4 linked regions of the Caenorhabditis elegans genome follow. The protein of the gene in region 1 interacts with the protein of each later gene in a pairwise test. Each region holds a gene or a part of one and is shown in the gene's direction. Other genes may lie near its edges.

What was found.
Region 2: the proteins of smz-2 (region 1) and nhr-41 interact in a two-hybrid assay, tested with the Caenorhabditis elegans proteins (one large-scale study listed by BioGRID).
Region 3: the proteins of smz-2 (region 1) and pcyt-2.2 interact in a two-hybrid assay, tested with the Caenorhabditis elegans proteins (one large-scale study listed by BioGRID).
Region 4: the proteins of smz-2 (region 1) and lips-11 interact in a two-hybrid assay, tested with the Caenorhabditis elegans proteins (one large-scale study listed by BioGRID).

The regions. Positions count from the first base shown.
Region 1 is NC_003279.8:6,872,102-6,875,533, reverse strand, and holds smz-2 (PDZ domain-containing protein), read left to right. Parts: upstream 1-1,776; 5' UTR 1,777-1,849; coding exon 1,850-1,978; intron 1,979-2,026; coding exon 2,027-2,290; intron 2,291-2,334; coding exon 2,335-2,766; 3' UTR 2,767-2,927; downstream 2,928-3,432. Other genes in the region: T21G5.1 (Tyrosine-protein kinase), read right to left, coding at 371-572, 633-889, 938-1,156; T21G5.12 (Lipoprotein), read right to left, coding at 3,416-3,432.
Region 2 is NC_003282.8:1,384,534-1,389,241, forward strand, and holds the start of nhr-41 (Nuclear Hormone Receptor family), read left to right. Parts: upstream 1-1,681; 5' UTR 1,682-1,755; coding exon 1,756-1,758; intron 1,759-3,309; coding exon 3,310-3,427; intron 3,428-3,480; coding exon 3,481-3,617; intron 3,618-3,682; exon of another isoform or gene 3,683-3,754; intron 3,755-4,074; coding exon 4,075-4,170; intron 4,171-4,708.
Region 3 is NC_003284.9:7,882,361-7,888,006, forward strand, and holds pcyt-2.2 (ethanolamine-phosphate cytidylyltransferase), read left to right. Parts: upstream 1-1,964; 5' UTR 1,965-2,008; coding exon 2,009-2,082; intron 2,083-2,135; coding exon 2,136-2,229; intron 2,230-2,321; coding exon 2,322-2,402; intron 2,403-2,448; coding exon 2,449-2,524; intron 2,525-2,597; coding exon 2,598-2,698; intron 2,699-3,036; coding exon 3,037-3,132; intron 3,133-3,175; coding exon 3,176-3,277; intron 3,278-4,089; coding exon 4,090-4,200; intron 4,201-4,249; coding exon 4,250-4,327; intron 4,328-4,376; coding exon 4,377-4,448; intron 4,449-4,761; coding exon 4,762-4,892; intron 4,893-4,949; coding exon 4,950-5,019; 3' UTR 5,020-5,119; downstream 5,120-5,646.
Region 4 is NC_003280.10:1,108,300-1,112,886, reverse strand, and holds lips-11 (LIPaSe related), read left to right. Parts: upstream 1-1,885; 5' UTR 1,886-1,894; coding exon 1,895-2,082; intron 2,083-2,702; coding exon 2,703-3,058; intron 3,059-3,310; coding exon 3,311-3,461; intron 3,462-3,821; coding exon 3,822-3,933; intron 3,934-3,986; coding exon 3,987-4,046; downstream 4,047-4,587. Other genes in the region: lips-12 (LIPaSe related), read left to right, coding at 77-185, 424-541, 595-657.

The DNA.
Region 1 (3,432 bases):
ATTCAGAATGTTAAAATTCGTCAATGTCTGTGAATCAGCCTGAGAACTTGTACAATTTATGTGGATCATTACCCAGACGCGAAACTTTGAGGTTTTTGGGTACTTTGAGGGTAGAACTACAGTTCCCGGTCTCGACACGACAGTGTTTAAAAAATATTTGAACTTCCAACTTCTCGTAGCTGCGGAGTTTTCATAGTTGCAAATAATGATAAAAACTATTTAAAAAATCATTGAAAATATCGCAGCAATGAGAGTTTGAATTTGCAGTACTCTTGAAATTTCACATCTGTATAATATTGTAAAATGATATATCAAAAGAAGCAAACAATTGTTGAAACATTATTTTTTAGAGTATCACTCTAGACTAAACCTGTTTCAATTTCTTGACAGCACAATCCAGCACATATTCACTTGTTGGATCAACCATTCTTGCAAGAAAAACCTCTCCGAAGGCTCCAGATCCGATTTTTCGATACAAGATCACGTCCTCGTGTGGAATAATCCATGTTGCTCGGAGGACTGGTTTACGAAGATACACATTCCACTGAACGCATACTGGTTGCGCACGAGCACTGAAATATCTTACATAATTTAATTAATCATTAAATTAAAAAAAAAAAGAATAAACGTACAGATGGACATCAATCAAATCTAAAACAGTGTTTTCCTTGAGTGTTGGCATAAAATAAAACTGTTTTGCACCTTCTTTGTCTTGACTTATTGGAACATGAACAAATCCAGCTTCTCTTTTTACAGAAATTATCAGAAATTGTCCACCCGCATTTTCACGTGGTTCCGCTCTTCTCAGGAGATAATCACCTACGTAACGAAGTGACAACTCAGCATCGACACGTGGAATTATTCCATGGTAGAATTGACAGCCTTTAATCTAAACAAGAAATAAATGTTGATGTCTAGAAAAAAAATCCAAAAAAACCTCTGGAGTAATTTGAACGACTGGAACATCAACCATAGGCTCTTTCGGCTTCTCTTCTGGCGGTGGAGGTGTTCCAGGTGGATTTGCAGATTCTTTTGATCCTTCTCTTGATCCTCCAGTTGTTATTCCATTTCCAGGTAATACTTCTCTTACAACAACATCTTTTGATTGTTCTGTGTTTGGTGCTTTCATTGAAATTGCCTTCGTTGACATCTCCATTTTTCGATTTTTGATTCTGTTTTCTTTTGTTTGGCAGTTGAATCAATATTGTAAACCTTTTGAAAAGTTGAAAATAAATTGATTTTTGACTCAATTATCAGGTATTTTTGAACAAATTTATTTGTTTCTTTTCTTTTAAATTGGGGTTACGTTAATATTTAAATTTGTTTCTTTTCTATTTCCGAGTAAAACGTTTATTTTAAGTTTAATAAATGGAAAACCTATCATAATTACAATTTCAAACCAAAATGCTGTTTCCTACAAGTTTTATATCTTTGTTATGATTTAGTTATTTTATTTAAATATTTTATTCCCCAAAAACAATCAATATACCAAGACTGAAAAATTTCAAAAATCTAAAGAGATTTTGAGTATTTACTCTATTAGGCCATGTTTATAAGTTAGGTAACTGAAATTTTAAGCAAAAGACGCAATCCAATTTCGCTTTTTGGAAGGTCAAATTTTGTTTGACAAGTTTCGCAAATAAACTCGTAAAAATTTTCCAATTTAAAATATTTTCTCGAACTTAAACTCTATATTTATACGTAACATGTCCCCAAGACCTTATTTTTTATGTCCAAGTATTTCAGTATAAAACGTCCAATTCTCGCCACTCTCAATCAAATTTCGCAAGAAATCGAATCAATCGCCTTTTGAATCGGCAAAGCAGCAAAGAAGAAAAGGAACAGAAGAATGGGTTCCGAGAAGATGATCGAGATTTGTATCGACATGGAGGAAGGAGAACCACTTGGTGCAACTCCAAATGACAAGCTCGTTATCACTAAGATTCAGGCTGGAACCATTTCTGAAGGAAAATTGAGAGTGAGTTTTTGAAATGTTCAAATCTTTTTTATACAGAATGATTTACAGATTGGTGACCAAGTTAAAAAAGTGAACGGACAAAATTGCAAGGATTGTAACGACTTTTTCCGTGCGCTTCGCTTTGCTGCTCCATGTGCAAAAATCACGGTGAACCGTGACGAAAAAAAGGCTGAAGAGTTAGAAGCTCGTGTTCATATTCCTGAGGATCGTGCAAAGATCATTCAACGCCGTGAGGGATACGTTTATGAGTTGGCAACCCTTGTCTGGGTTCAAAATGGACCAAAACTTGGTTTGGGAATCAAGCATTTCCAGGTAAGAAATTAAAAGATTGGAGGAAGTTCATATGTCTATTTTAGAACCGTGTGCTTGTTTCACGTGTTGATCCTGGATCACTAGCCGAGAAGTGTCTTGTTCTTGGAGATCATTTGTGTGATGTTGATGGAATTCCAGTCAGTGACAAGGATGTTGCCAGAGATCTTCTCGTCAAGAATATCCAAGAGAAAGGAAAAGTCACTTTTGTCGTCGAGCGCCCTGATTCGATCGATGCCAAGCAATGGGCGAAACAGGCGTTGGCTACCAATCTCATGCAACCACCATCAGTCCAAATGAACGAAGATGTGAAAGGCATTGCTTCGCAATATCGTCAAGCTCTTCCAGGACTGAAGCCTCCAGCGAAGAGTGCAATGTCTACCGGTCCAAATGCTCGCCGTGTTTCTATCATCGAGCAAACTCAAACTCACGAGATCGGACATGATCATGAAGGAAAAGCTCTTCGCAAGGTCAAGTGATGATAAGAATTCAGCAAGATGTCATGAATAGCACTGTCTAGATTGAATAAAAATGTTTTGATATTTGTTTTGTAAGGTTTATGAATCAAAGTTCTCCTGAAGTGTTATGTGCCCATTGGAGTCATCTTAACTTTTTAGAGACAAAACTTCTTATAAACTTTTTATACTTTGTATGTTGTTTCCTTGGACTATTACTGGCTTCCTTTTAATTGAAACTGGGTAAATTTACCAGCTACCACAATTTTAGAATTGTTACAATTTAGAATTGATTTTCGAAACGAAGGCAATGATAGGGGTATTGCTCCTTTGTAGAACATATTTGGTGTATGTTCTAAGGAGAGATACTTTTTTTTACTTTTTCAAAAATCACGGTAGCCGTTTTGTTGCAAATTTTGAGTTCTTTCAGATTTCAAAAAATCTACCAATTGTGTTCTAACAACTAAAACTTTTAAACTTTATCTAAAAAAAATAGAGGGCCCGGGCCTCGGGGATGGAGGTAATTTATAAATTTCTGAAGATGGAAGAACCTGCAAAACACGGATATAACAGTGACTAAGAAAACGATGATATGTAATTGGAAGTTTAAATATGACGGTAAAATGAATTCAACATTGAATCAATGAAAGAAAACAATTTATTTTTGAGAAATCTAATTTTTATTCTCTC
Region 2 (4,708 bases), on another chromosome or scaffold:
TAAGAACTTCTTAATATAAAAACTCGAATTCTTCATCAAAATTCTAGTCAAATTGGCCCCCATATTGAGCCATTTCCTATAAGTTTGAAAAATAGGTCGCGGTGGCTTCGCTGGGTAGAGGTTGGGCTGACGCGCGGAAGACAGGGGTTCAATCCCCGCTGTAGGTGAATATTTTTGTGAGACTTTTTCCATCTAACAAGAAAAGAATCTCGAGTTGGAAACTAGGTTGAACCCTGTATGTGAAATTTTTGGCCCAAAAAACCGGAAATTTTCAATTTTCGCCGCGATGGCTCAGTGGCTAACAGGTTTGGCTGTGAATCTCGACACCAGGGTTCGACCCCAGCCGGTCCCAAATTTTTTTTCCGGTACATTTTTGATCATATGAAATGGGTAAATATTGTCGAAAAAAATTTCCAAAAAAAAATTAACAACAAATCCTCACAGCTAATACTTAAGCAACAAAGCCGCTCACCTATAAATTATCTTAATGAAAATGAAAAAAGAAAATCCGCCCCGGCCGGCACAGAAGAAAAAAATTATTTAACAGATTGAGTTCACGGCTCCGCTAAACACCGATTATCCCCCGGTAGCGGGGGATATGATTTTTGGGGATTTTTCAAGGATTTTCTATACTTTCCATATTTTGATGAAAAAAATTTTACTCCATCAGTGTAACTTTTTTGACAAAATTTGTGAGAGTTACATTTTTGTAAATTTTTTCCAAAATAATGAAAAAAATGTGTGTAATGTCAAAATTACTTTAAAACAGGGGAAACTATGTTAAATTAAGCTGTGCAAAAATGTTCTGGTGCACGTTGGGGTCGAGCCCTTGACCTTCTGCGCCATAGCCTAACATGTACCCAGTTCAGCACACATTTTCACGAAATTTCTAAAAAATTTCAAAATTATCTTAATTAGGCCAATATGGGAGTCACGTTGAAATTTAATGGAGAATTCGAATTTGACGTTTAATTTACTAAAATTTAATTTTTTCAACGAAAATTACTCGACACATGGAAAGTGTTGAAAACTAGTTTCTAGCTCGAAATTTTGTATTTTTGTCACTCAAAAAATTGCAACAAAAACTTATGACCAAGCTGGGACTCGAACCCCTGACCTTCTGCACCATAACCCAGCCTCTACCCGATTGAGCCACTTCGCCCCATTTTCCGAAATTTTTGACAATTTAAAAACTACCGAAATAGGTCAATATGGGGGTCATATTGACGGAAATTTTTTGTAAAATTCGAATTTTTAGGTTTAAAACGTTTAAACCCAAATGCTAAAGACTTAAATGTTCGTTTTCCTCAAAAGTTGTGACCTTTTTTTTTGCAACTTTGTTATACCAAAACCGCAACACATAGTACAGTTCCCCCCGCCCCCAAAATTCGTTCCGCGTTGCTATTAGCATACAATGCCCCCCACGGTCACTCACCTCTGTGTGCACTCTCCCGGTTTCGCGCACTATTTCCCACGCCGCGCGCCACACCGCTTGAAACATATTTCCAGTTGGTCAGCAGCGGCTGACTGACCGGCGGCGCGGTGATAAGGGGGAGAGTCTCCAGGAATAACGGTCTGAAACACCTCTCACTGTACTACTATATTATTCTCTCTTGTTTCTGTATACTCATGTACACTTTGCCAAAGTGCTCTGATCACCCACATCGTCCCCTTATTCTAGAAAATTCCACGTCATCAACTGGGCTAATATTTGCTGAGAGTCAAGCTTCAGCATCCCATCAAACTTGGATTAATATGGTGAGTTTTCTGAGGAAACGTTCATTTTTGTACATTTTTTAGGTTTTACTGAAGAACTAGCACTCAAATCGAAAATATTTCGGTACTTGTGTATTACATGTCCTCATTTTTAAATTAAATTAAACGGTTACTCGTGAATTTTTAGCTGCGAATCTCCAAAACCAAGCTCACGGCGAGCTCTCAAAGATCCTGAAAATAGCACTTTAACGAAGTAGTGAAGGGCCAATTTTCCAAATTTACTTTGGTAGCTCATATCTCAGCGGATAAATTTTTTACCGAAAAGTCATCAACTAATATGTTGTTGATATTTTTGTAAAGAACAAGTTTGTAGTTGAAAGTTTTTGTCAAAAAAATTGTTGTTTCAGATAGAAGCGCATGAAGTGCGGCAACTGCTGCTATTGCGATTTTAATGCTTTTATCTAAAACAAAAAACTTTTGGTAAAAACTTTTAACTACAAACTTGTTCTTTACAAAAAGTTCAACAATTTATCAGTTGATGACTTTTCTTTGAAAAATTTATCCGCAGAGATATGAGCTACCAAAGTGAATAAGGAAAATTGCTTGTTTTGATCGTAAAGTGCTTCGTTACAGTGCTATTTTAGGATATTTGAGAGCTCGCCGTGAGCTTGGTTCTGGAGATTCGCAGCTATCGAATGGCACAGGTTTCATATGCAAGTCCGATGGGCACCTTCTGACGGTTCCCTAGTTAGGAAATTTTATTTCCTAAGCCTAAAAATCCAAAAGTGTGGTTCACGTTTTTATTTTGCACAACTTAAAAAATTACTATAAAAATGAGGGCATGTAATACACAAGTACCAATATTTCAATTAAAATGTATTCAACGTTAAATTCTACACCAATTTACCGCACAATACAAAACAATTTCTGAAAAAAACTTTTTTTCGGGACAATTGTTTAAAAAATTTTTAAAGGCTAATTTTTCAATTTTTCAATTATTTTATTAAAACATTCGAATCTTCCGTCTAAAATCTCTAAAATCCGTTAATTTACCCCCATATTGCCCTATTTCCGATAAGTTAAATTTGGTCTCGGTGGCTCAGTCGGGTATCTGTTGGTCTAGACTATGACGCAGAAGACCGGGGTTCTAGTCCGGTAGGAGGGATTTTCTTTTTATTTTGATTTCTTGTACAAAATAACATGTAAAAGTCTAAATTATGGGAGTTAAAAAAAGATTTACGAAAAAAAAATTCTAAAATGAAATTCCTGTCACTCTAAAACTGTTTCAACCATCAAAACAGTTATAGTAAAAAATAAAAACCACAACTGGGCTCGAACCCTCGACCTTCTGACTCAGCCTAACCTCTGACCAGCTGAGCCACTGGGACCCAATTTTTTGACTTTTCTAAAAATTTCAAAATTTTTGTAAATTGGTCAATATGGGTGTCAACTTAACGGAAATTTCATGGAGAATTCGAATTTGACAATGAATATCTTTTAAAAAAATTCTCTGAATTTAAAGTTTGGAAAAATTGTCTTAAACAGGCTAATTAACTGGAAAGTTTATGAAAAATTATAATTTTCTTATTCCAGACGCTGGGTGACCCTTGCTCCGTCGAGCAACCCCCACCTCCACCCATCGATTTCTCACGGAGCCTAATTGCTCCGACCGCTATCAAACAAGAATCTCACCTAATTCCCTCAACGCCAGGTAATATTCTAATTAATTTTTTTCGAATAAAAAATAAATATAAATATGTTCAGGCACCCCAACAGCTTTCCAACCCCCACAGCATGCGAACACACCAATCCCTGGTATTCAGCCGAATTTGTTCAATCCGGCAATAATGGCGGCTCAACTAAACGTATTCAGCAACCCACAGTTGATGGCAATGATGCAGGTAAACTATTTTCTGCAAAAATGAGAATTCGGCAAAACTGGCAGTGCAAAAATAAAAAAATAAACTTCCCATGCCGGGAATCGAACCCGGGCCGCGTGGGTGAAAACCACGAATCCTAACCACTAGACCACATGGGAGGACGAAACGAGGAGGTCTCGAGTGCCTAGAGAAGAGTGTGCGGGAGGGGCCTGCTGACTGTAGCGGAAAAAGTTATATGGCGGGGGCAAAAAGAATGTCCAATTTTTTTCGAAAAAAAAACGAAATATCTCTCAAATTCTCGACCCTAATGAAAAATTACTATGTGTCTATGTGTGTGGAAGGTCATTCGATAACCTTTTTTTTCCCTCAAAAAAATATCATGAAAGGTTTGATCTCGTTTTCAAAAATATTTTTTAACTTTTGCCCCAAAATTTGTTTTTTTTTTGTTAAATTCTCCCTTAAATTTTTGAATTTCCAGGCTACCAGAAACCCATTGTTAGGACACCCGTCAGTTGTCGGTCCACCAATGATGCCAAATATCATTCAACAGCTAAATGCCCTTCGAAATGTTCAGGTAAAAAAAATGTTGCTCAAAGAACTTTTTTTCAAAAAAATTTTCCAATTTTTCCGATTTTCTAGGATTCCTTTTTATTTTAACACACTTTAACTATCCAAACAAACCTTGAGAAAAACATTTTCCCTTACTTGGGCTCGAACCCCGGTCTTGTGCGCTACAGCCCAACCTCTACCCAGTTGCGCCACTTCGATCCATTTTCAAAAATTTTAAAATAATTAGAATCCGGTCATTATGGGGGTCAAATTAACGGAAATTGCACGCAGAATCCGAATTTCGACATGAAAAACAATGAAAATCAATGCCTCAACCTAAAAAAACACAAAATTTTAACTAGAATTAAAACAATTTTAGGTTAGGACTTGGAGTTTTTCAAATCATTTACTAAATTTTCTGCGTATACCTAATATTCCAATACCCTTTTTTCCAAAAGTTTGGACTACAAGGACAGTGTCGCGAGCGCGCGCGCTCTCTCTAAAAACAGGTTTTGATCACCGGTCGAATTGTAGCTCCGCCCACTTTCCGGGGTCCTCAGGTG
Region 3 (5,646 bases), on another chromosome or scaffold:
AATCAAAATCACAAGCAACGTTGCGTTTAAAGCTGATTCAATGCAGAAGTATTGTAAAATCTAGACAATCCAATTTTTTATCACATGCTGGGCCAATCAATCATCGCTGTATGTTTTAAATGTACAGAGGCGGTCGTTGGGCTCGTCATCAGACCTTCGTGAGTCATGAGCTCCGCCTTTACTATTCTATCCACCACCTACATATATTACAGTTTCATTTGCACACGGCGGCTTGTCATTTTCCTGTCTATTGCTATTTCGTTGTTAGAAACTTTTTCAAATCGAGGATTTTGAGACTAGAATGCTTGAATTGTACTAGCATACTGGCCCCCAAATCTTCGCTTAGAAATACAGTTCACAATTATTTTAATGGTGAGTAAAGTAAGTAAAGGGATAGTTCCCGATCGAATATCAGTTGGGGTATTTACAAAAAGACAAAATTGTAATGCCCTGAATGATGTTCAATCGGTGATGAATCTCATTTTTTATTGTGTTTTGGAAAATAAATTGTTAAGAATTTATTGCAAGAGAAAAATAACATGAAACATTCTTTTCAGTTTACGTGCAGAAAAAATTGTGTTTTGCAGGAAAAGGCAGAAAAATACAGAATACGGAATAATGAAAATGTTTATTATGTTGCAAGTCTACAAAATTAGGGAACAGTACACTCAGGATAGTATGCGCAACCGTCGCGAATGTTCTGTCATGATATTAACATAAGATTATTGGATAACGCGAGATCTGTGATCTTAATTTCAAAGCAGATCTTTGGTAAGATGATTGATAATACACAATTTGTTCTTTATGCAAAATGTTGATGTAGAGTTCAAAGAGCGTGTAGAGTTCAAAGAGCTTCATCATTGGACCCAATTGGAACGATCCCAAAAAACATGCGCAGGGAACGGTTCAACTTACCACTGTGATGTTAGTTTCGAGTAGAAAATATAATGAAAACACATAGACTTCGTAATTTGATAATATTTTTGATTACTTCTGGTGTATGATACATGCTTAGCTTCAATAGTTTGAGTTTATTGGTTTCAGCTTGTAGACTTGTGACATTCTTCAAAATTTATCAAAGGAAGAAAGTAAACATAAAATTGTAATGTTTGTCTGATTTATATTAAAAAAAGCTACGCATTTTCAGTCATTCAAAATACACGCCTATGAATTTCAAACGTGTTTTCCTAAAACTGTGATAAAATATTTGTTATATATTTATTATTGAGATCTATATGCGTGTGTTTCTGAAAATGTAACATTTTGAAATAGGCGTTAAGTCAATAGATATATTTTAAGCCAACCGAAAAATTACCTCAAAATTAGATTTGACGTTCAGTCAGTCTGGATGCGACTGAAACTTTCCACTTAGTTTTTTTGCGCTGAAAAGATATCATGCTTATTGACTAATTCATTAGCAATATTTAAAACAATTGTTGTGATACACTTTATCATTTATGAAGTGATTTTTGTAACATGCCATTATAAAACCAATTAATACTACCAAAACCCAAACATGTGGGACCTAGGTTACTCGTTTGCGTAAGGACTCAAAAATTATTCAGACCTTCAAATTTGCTTGCAATTGAAAAAAAGTTGGAAAATCAAAAAAATTTAGATAATATTTAAATGTTTACAGTGATTTTTTGGCACTTTAATAATGTTTTCAGTCATTTTTTGGCACTTTGATAATGTTTTCAGTCATTTAGAACAAAAAAAATCCCACAGAGACAAACGCTACGTTACTTCTATAAAACTCAAATATTTATTTCAAGTTGCGAGTGCCCTTTTGATTAGCAAGTGTTTTTTTGTGACAGAATAACACACCCGCAATTACTTTGTGTAACGAATAAACGAGAGAGCAGATTCTGCTCTTTGTCTCGAGAGCGCATTACACCCAGAGAGAAAGCAAAGAGAAAAAGATCCCATCAACAGTGAGAAGGTGCCGCGATCAGTCGAACTGATTTCCTATTTTCTCTTGTTTATTCACCTATTATTCGTGTTGACCATGCCCAAGGCTATTGTACAAGGACTGACTCCAGATGGAGAAAAAAAGAAAGCTCGAGTGTATACAGATGGATGGTAAAGCACAATATTGTTTTTAAGCGTTAAGCGTTAAAATTGAAAACTTTCAGCTTTGACTTTGTACATTTTGCAAATGCCAGATTATTATGGCCAGCAAAACAATACGGAAAAAAGCTGATTGTTGGTATTCATTCAGATGACGAGGTATATGTGTTTTTTGTTATAACAATCAATTATCATTTCATTTCTCTACATTTCAAATATATCAAAACTTGTGTATGTATATTGTTTTTTAGCTTGACAATAATGGAATTTTACCAATTTTCACCGATGAGGAAAGATACAGACTTATTTCGGCAATTCGATGGGTCGATGAAGTATTTATTTATTTAAAAATCAAATTTTCTACATATTATTCTTTAGGCATTTGAAGACGCGCCATTTCAACCCGAGATGTCAACGCTAAACCAGCTAGATTGTGATATTATTGCAATACCAGGCAAGTTGGTTAGATCATAAACTCAGAGACCCCAGATGTTGAGCCATCTGGTGTCAACTACCCACTTTTCCAGATATTAGCCACCTGACAACTGTTGAAACTGCAAGGTACGAGGAGATTCGGGGCAGCGAACGGGCAAAACAATATGTAATTTCGGAGCATGTAACGGACCAGGTACGTGCTTGATAAACAAGTTAAGCACATTAAACGCAATTTATTGAGTAGTCTAAAATGTTGGCAATTCTCCTGGAAGGAAAAATGTAACAAGATATTATATTTTTCGTAGATGTCTCTAGGATGAATAGGTGTACTACACCTTCAATATACGATTTCAGTACTTGCGAACATATATGTTTTTATTAACAGGATTATAAATTATTTTAGTTATTGAGAAATTGTTTGAAACATCTTCTACAGTAATTTTCAATAGTTGCTTGACAGTGTTCTTACGTCTAAGTAATTTCAACCTTTCATTTTAATAAAACCTTATCTGTATCATTTGTATAATGAAGGAAATCGCTGGTCGTCTCATGCTTGTCACAAAAAAGCATCACATGGAAACCGATTCAATCTTGGATTTCAAAAGCGCTATTCTTCCGTTTGCCCTGGTAAGTTATACTTCAGTTGCTTATGACAAAACACATGTTGCAGGATCCGTTGAGCAACGAGCCTGTCATATCGGTGTCCCTTTTCAAACAAAACTATACGTTTGCACCTGTCGTCATCGGAAGGAAACCGAAAGTAACAGACAAGGTGAGCTGGAGGGTTTTTAGAATAAAAAATCGCGTAAAATTATGAATAGTTGTCAAAAATTTCGAATTAAAAAAATAGGTTTCATATCAAAAAAAAAACTAGATACGGGTCCAAACATGCAATTATGTGAAAAATGAATTTGTCTCAAAACGTGAATACCCATGTCGTAAAAATTAAAATTAGTCCAGCAAAAATTGCTCCTTTTATAAAAATTGTCTGATACTTTTTCAATTTCTTTATACTTATTTTAAAACAAACTTGCCGGAAATGATGTCCACTTTCAAACAATAAATGAAATGTTTATGAAATTGATTAAACATAACATGAAATCTTCCATTTACAAATTTTTCAAATTGCCTGTGAAATCCACATGAATCACTATCGTCATGCATCTGGTTTTCAAAAAAATATCCCTTATAAATTCCGGAACATTAAAGTATTTTTTTAATACACGGTTTCAAGCTGACTCCCCAAGCTTCACGTTATCTAAAAATATTCATAGCTATGAGAGGCTACTGACGCAAGTCGTTCAAAGTTAATTTATTATTTGCATCCTCATAATTTATAACTTGCACTACTTTCAAGTTGTTCGTAATTCTCAAGAGTACTTGAGCTTTCCTGAAAATATGACAAAGTGGTATTTTCCATGATATGTCATTACTCATTTCTGAAATCACGTTTTTTCTTTTAAATTGAACAGGTGAAAATTGAAATCAATACCGTATGACTAGTGTTTCGAACAATCATTCCTCGAACAATCATTCCTGGAAAACGACACATTGTCTTCGCACAAAATACAATTAGAATTTCAGGTTGTTTATGTTAGCGGAGCGTTCGATTTATTTCATGCGGGGCACCTGTCTTTTTTGGAAGCAGCGAAAGATCTTGGAGACTATCTGATTGTTGGAATTGTGGGAGATGATGTAAGATTGTAGATGATCTTTGAAGTTGCAAATAAAAATTTATTTTCAGGACGTAAATGAAGAAAAAGGAACAATTTTCCCGGTTATGAACCTTCTCGAAAGAACACTGAACATATCATCACTGAAAGTAAGGAGCGAATTTTGAAATAGTGAACGTTTTAAGATAACTGTTTCAGATTGTTGATGAAGTATTTGTTGGTGTTCCGGCAGTGACAAATTCCAAGTTTGTGAATTTGATTCGAGCATCGGTTTGGTTTTGAATTTGTTAAAAAATATAACGCTGAGCAGCTCAAATTAAACAAAATGTTCTCAAATTAAAATAAAAGGACACAGATTCACGGAAAGAATCAAATTTAAAGTAGTGACTGGTGCCAAATAAGCAAATAACGTAGTAAACTTTACCAACCTTTTTTGACAATTGTTTATTTTGTTCAAATAAGTGGTAATACAGTTTATGCCAGTTTGTTTAGAAAAAATCCTTCAAACGTCATCATGTTTTGGAAATAAAAGAATTCAATTTCGGACTCCAGGTTGTCATTTTATTTCACTGTATTTTTTCAGAAAATCGCAGTGTACTCTGAAACCCACCCACGGCGGTTTGCAGACTGCACGTATCATAGAATTATAGAAGAAGTAACACCAGATTATGATGCAACATGTGAAGAAATACTGGAGCGAATCACGTCCAGAAAGTAATTTCATTCTTCAATTTTGCATTTTTTATACCCTTTTGAACATTTTTCATTCAGGATTGCATCATCGGATGACGACGAAATCGCAATGTTCAACGCAGTTCCATTGAATAACAACCAACATTGACTTTCAAATATTTGGAATGAATGTGTAATTAGATGCAAGAGTTCAAGAAACTTATTTCTAGTCGAGATTTTTTTCATCAAATAAAAATTTGCATCTTTTGATCTTTTGATTAATTTTTGTTTTGAACCGTTCTGCAATAATGATGTGTGTTTTTGTTGTAACGTTTTGGATGACGAAAAATAGAGAGAAAAACGGAAGCAATTGAAACAAGTCTTGAATTTCAATTGTCAGAGGGCACTTTGTCATTTGAAACAAAATATCAAGACTGCCCATGTGTTTGGTGGGTGAGGGCAACGATAGCACCGTTGTCGGTACGAACCTCATTTGAATTCCAGGCATTCTAGCACGTTGCAGTTTTTTCGAAAAAGGAGAAGAAACGTTTTTTAAAGAGTTTCTTGATGTTTCAAGTTTGCAAAATTCTAAATTGAAATATCACATATTTTCTAAAACTTGTTATACAAGATTTCAAACTGGCTTAAATTTTAGTGAAAGCATACGAGGAAAGAACAACAAAAACTCCATTGGAAAATAGCCCAGAAGGAGGCGGAGCCTATTATTGATTTTCCTTACACCACTTTTTATTTCATTCTCAACATCGTGTATTTAAACTAAAATTACCGTATTTAT
Region 4 (4,587 bases), on another chromosome or scaffold:
TGATGGAAAAATCACATTTTCAAATTTCTAACAAAAACAATGGCGGGAAATTCAAATTCAAATTTCTCACTTTCAGGACAAAACGGAGGTATTCTGTGCGACCCGTCAGGTGATAAACGTGCAACATGTCTAAACATGGACATCGGGCTCAACTGTGGATCCAAGTTTATAAAAGACATAAATGCGTGGGTTTATATTCCAAAAAGCACAAAAAAATAATAAATGGGCGGAGCTTTTTATAGATTTTTTTAAAGCATGCAAAAAATTAATTTAGTTTAGTTCATAACATTTTTTTGTAAAATTTTTTTTGAATAAAGTTAAAATTTTTTAGCCAAAAAAACTTATTCGTCAATAAATACTAAATACTTAAAAGGCCCTGTTACCAAAGTAAAAAAAATTTAAACTTGATCACCAACTTTTCAGCATTGGAAAGCATTGGAAAGAAGCTGTTCACTCCATTCACTCCATTGTCCCGCTTCTCCCCCAAAAAACCAACTGCGGCTCAGATTCCTGCGGTATTCCATACTCGAAAGTTTACGAGGTTATTTTTTAATGCTTAACGAATTTTATGATTATAATTTTTAAATTTTTCAGTATGATTTCAATGGTGTTGAACAGAATGTCAACCGCGTTGTGGAGATTCTCAAGAAATTATGACCGCCTGATTTTCATATTTTGACCTAATAAATATTAAGCATAAAATGTTTGAACTTGGCATATTATAATACAAAAACAAAAATTGAAAGAGCCAAGAAATGGGCGGAGCCTATTATTGATTATCCTTGTATTTTGCAAAAATTGTTGACAGATGATTTTTTTTCCACACTAACTCTATTGGGAGTTTTTCAACAATTTGATATCCAAAAAAAAGAGGAAAATCCGCTAACAATGTGAAAAACTAGCATCATAATTTGAATTGCCGCGCAGTTTCCTGGCGTTCCAGAATGATCTATTTGTATTTGAAAGAAGACCTTTGAAATAGGCATCTCAAAATTTGCCGAGCTTGGCAAATTCGGCAAATTTCTGTTTCCAATAATTGCCGAGCACGGCAAACTCGGCATAATCGGCAAATTTGCCTGGCTTCGCAAACTCGGAAAAATCTAAGAATTTTGATATTTTTTGGAGCACAAAAATTACTGTTACACTAAGAACACGTTTGCTTGGTTGGAAATGTCCGTGTGGTTCAATTTCATGCCAGTTTACTAGATTTTTGGAGCCGAATCAAGAGTTTTAGTAATTGTTTTTCTGTTCAACTTTTGGTGTACGCGGCAAATCCCGAAATTTGCCGAACTCGGCAAACAGCAAAATATGAAACGTTTATCACAGAACTTGTTAGGGGATTTTTCAAATATATATATATTTTTTTAATTCTTGGAAAAAGCTTGTCTACCTCGAAATACCCTAAAATCATTCAAAAATTTTAAATATTACCATTGAGAGCAAATTTACGGGCCTCTGAAATAGTGGAAAAATGAAAAATTAACTGAAAGTTAATACGAAAATTTTCAAGCTTGTAAAAGATTTTTGGTTGTTCCGGAAATCGGATAATCGGAAAACAGCCACCCTTGTTTCTGACTAATGAGCTAAGAAATTGATTGGTACTTCCATAGTTGATGAATGTTATCAGTAAAATGGGTTTGGCAATGCTTTTGTTATTCCACCGTGATATAAACTGAAAAGCACAACTGATAAGATGAGGCACCTGAGTGTCTAGACATGGCAACGGAAGTGGGCGGGATTGGAATTTTTGAGACGTGGCTTAAGTTGTATAAAACTGACCGGCTAAATTTTAATTTCAGTGAGTTTTTGAGTTTTCCAATTCTCACCCAAATTCCACATTTTATGCATCGCCTAAGTTTTTTTTTTAATTTTAATTTTTTTTTCCAGATCCCGAATGAAAATTCTCTTCAACTCAATTGCCCTCGTGGTCCTGGCCACCATTGTCCAAGCGGAGTTTTCGGACAGTTTCCGTAACTACTTTGCTGGTCAACCGGAATTGCTGAAAGTTTTGTCTAGAAACGACCTTTTTGGAGCTATTGGAAGTTTTGGAGGTGGAAGGCATGTTGGAGGTACTCAAACAAGGTAAGTTCGGTTTTCCTGGGGCAACCAGATTTTTCAAAATTTGCTAACAGCTTCTCAAAAATTTTCCGCAACATTTTCTAATCTTTCTAGTGATTATCAAACTTCCTAGTATTTTTCAATTTTTTTCGATTTTCCTAGACAATTTTCAAAAGTTTCTGATATTTTCTAGTATTTCTGAAGTCTTCCATCAGTTCACGGAATTTTTTAAAATTTTCAGAACTTTATAAACTTACTAGAAGTTCCTTAAATCATTAAAAAAGTTTGTAAACCTTCCAGAAGATTTTTCAAAAATTTTTCAGAACTTTCTAGACAATTCTCCAATTTACTAGAAAATTTGTGAATTTTCTTCAATTGTTTTTAGAATTATTTCGAACGTTTAGAAATCCATCATAAATTTTTAAAAGAAATTTTTGATTTTTTTTTAATTTTCCAAGTTTTAAAAATTTTTGGAATTTTTCAAAATTTCCCAAACCCTCTAGATAGTTCTTTGAAAAAATTATTGTCCTGAAATTTTTTTCAAAAATAAAAACATGAAAGATATTTCCAGAACCATTTATTTTAAAAATTTAATGAAGAAGAATTTTTTAAAGAATCCAAATAAAAATTTTTACATTTTTCAGAAGAGTCCCTCTTATCATCGTACACGGAGGAGGCCTCAGTGCACAGCAATATATAAAATACAAAGACGAATTCATAAAAAGAGGATATAGTGCTGAAACCGTCTACGCAACGTCGTGGGGCATTCCAGCACACACTTATGAACCAAATCTTGAGATGACGTGTGAATATGTGAAACAAATCAGAAAACTTATTATCGCCGTTTCAAAGTTCACGAATAATAGGGTTAATATTGTGGCATATGGAACAGGATCCCCGATTGCAAGAAAAGCGGTGATTGGAGGAAACTGCGTGGATACTAATGAAGATCTGGGAGTTCCACTGACGGCGTCAGTTAGAGCATTTGTTTCTGTTAGAGGTATATGATTTTGAAAGCTGAAAAAATAATCGTAAAATAAAAATTGAAACTGATTTTTCCCAAAAATTTGGCGAATAGTCAAAACTTAATTTTTTTTTAACTTTTTAAATTTTATTTTCCAAAGAACATTTCCCAACTTCCGAATGCAAAATTTAGGTTTTTTTTTTTTTCCAAAAAAATTTTTACGTGTTTTCTTTTTTTCTAAACAAAAACTTGGTGGAAAAATTTAAGTTTTCAACAACATTTTGCCAGATCATTCAAGTTCAAATTCAAATTCAAAATTCATATTTTCTGGACAAAACGGAGGTATTCTGTGCGACCCGTCAGGTGATAAACGTGCAACATGTCTAAACATGGACATCGGGCTCAACTGTGGATCCAAGTTTATAAGAGACATTAATGCGTGAGTTTATGTCCCCAAAAAACACCCTTATTTGATTTTTTTTTTAGATTCCTATACTTTTAAAAATTAAAGAAAAAATCAATAATATTTGGAATTTAAATAATTTTGAAAAAACTCGCCGATTATCGATTTCTTAAAAATTTCCGTATTCCTCATTATTCTTACCAATTTGTTTCATAAAATTTATCTTGAAAAATATTTTTAACAGCATTAAAAAATTTGAATTTTTACCTAAAATTTTTTTTTTTCGAAAATTCTTTAGATACTGTTTTTTTGTTGTTCAAAATGTATTTTTACACTACCTAGACCAAATTTAATTTTTTTTTCTGAAGTTAAACATTTTCACAACCTACGTTTCAGCATAGACAAGCGAGTAGCCCTTTTCCACATTGACTCCATTGTCCCGCTTCTCCTCCAAAAAACCAGCTGTGGCTCAGATCCCTACACCATTCCATACTCGAAAGTTTACGAGGTTATTTTTTAATGCTTAACGAATTTTATGATTATAATTTTTAAATTTTTCAGTATGATTTCAATGGTGTTGAACAGAATGTCAACCGCGTTGTGGAGATTCTCAAGAAATGATGACCGCCTGATTTTCATATTTTTACCTAATAAATATTCAGCATAAAATGTTTGAACTTGGCATATTACAAAAGCAAAAATTGAATGAAGATATGGGTGGAGCCTATTATTGATTTTTTTTCGGATTGTGTTAAAATTGTATTCTTTTGGAATTTTGTGCAAATTTTTGTTTTGGTTAGGTCTGGCAAGCTATTTTTTTCGCAAATTTTTGAAAAATTGCACTTTTGGCTCAACTGGTAACACGGACGACTATGGAGAAATAGGTCGGAGGTTCGACCCACGAGTGTGGTAAAAAATGTTGTTTTATTTTTTATGTTTGTAGTTGATATTTTAATTTCAAAATCCTAAATCTGGAAAAAAAAATTTTTTTTAATTTTCAACCAATTTTTCCCATAAACCCCTATTTTTTATTGCATGGAACTAGATTATCCATAGCAAACAAATGTTTTTATTATCAGCAGTTGTTCCAATACTATCACTTTTCACTTTCTTTTTTGTTGGTGGGAAAACTAGTTGTTTGACGTGGTTTTTCGAGAAATTT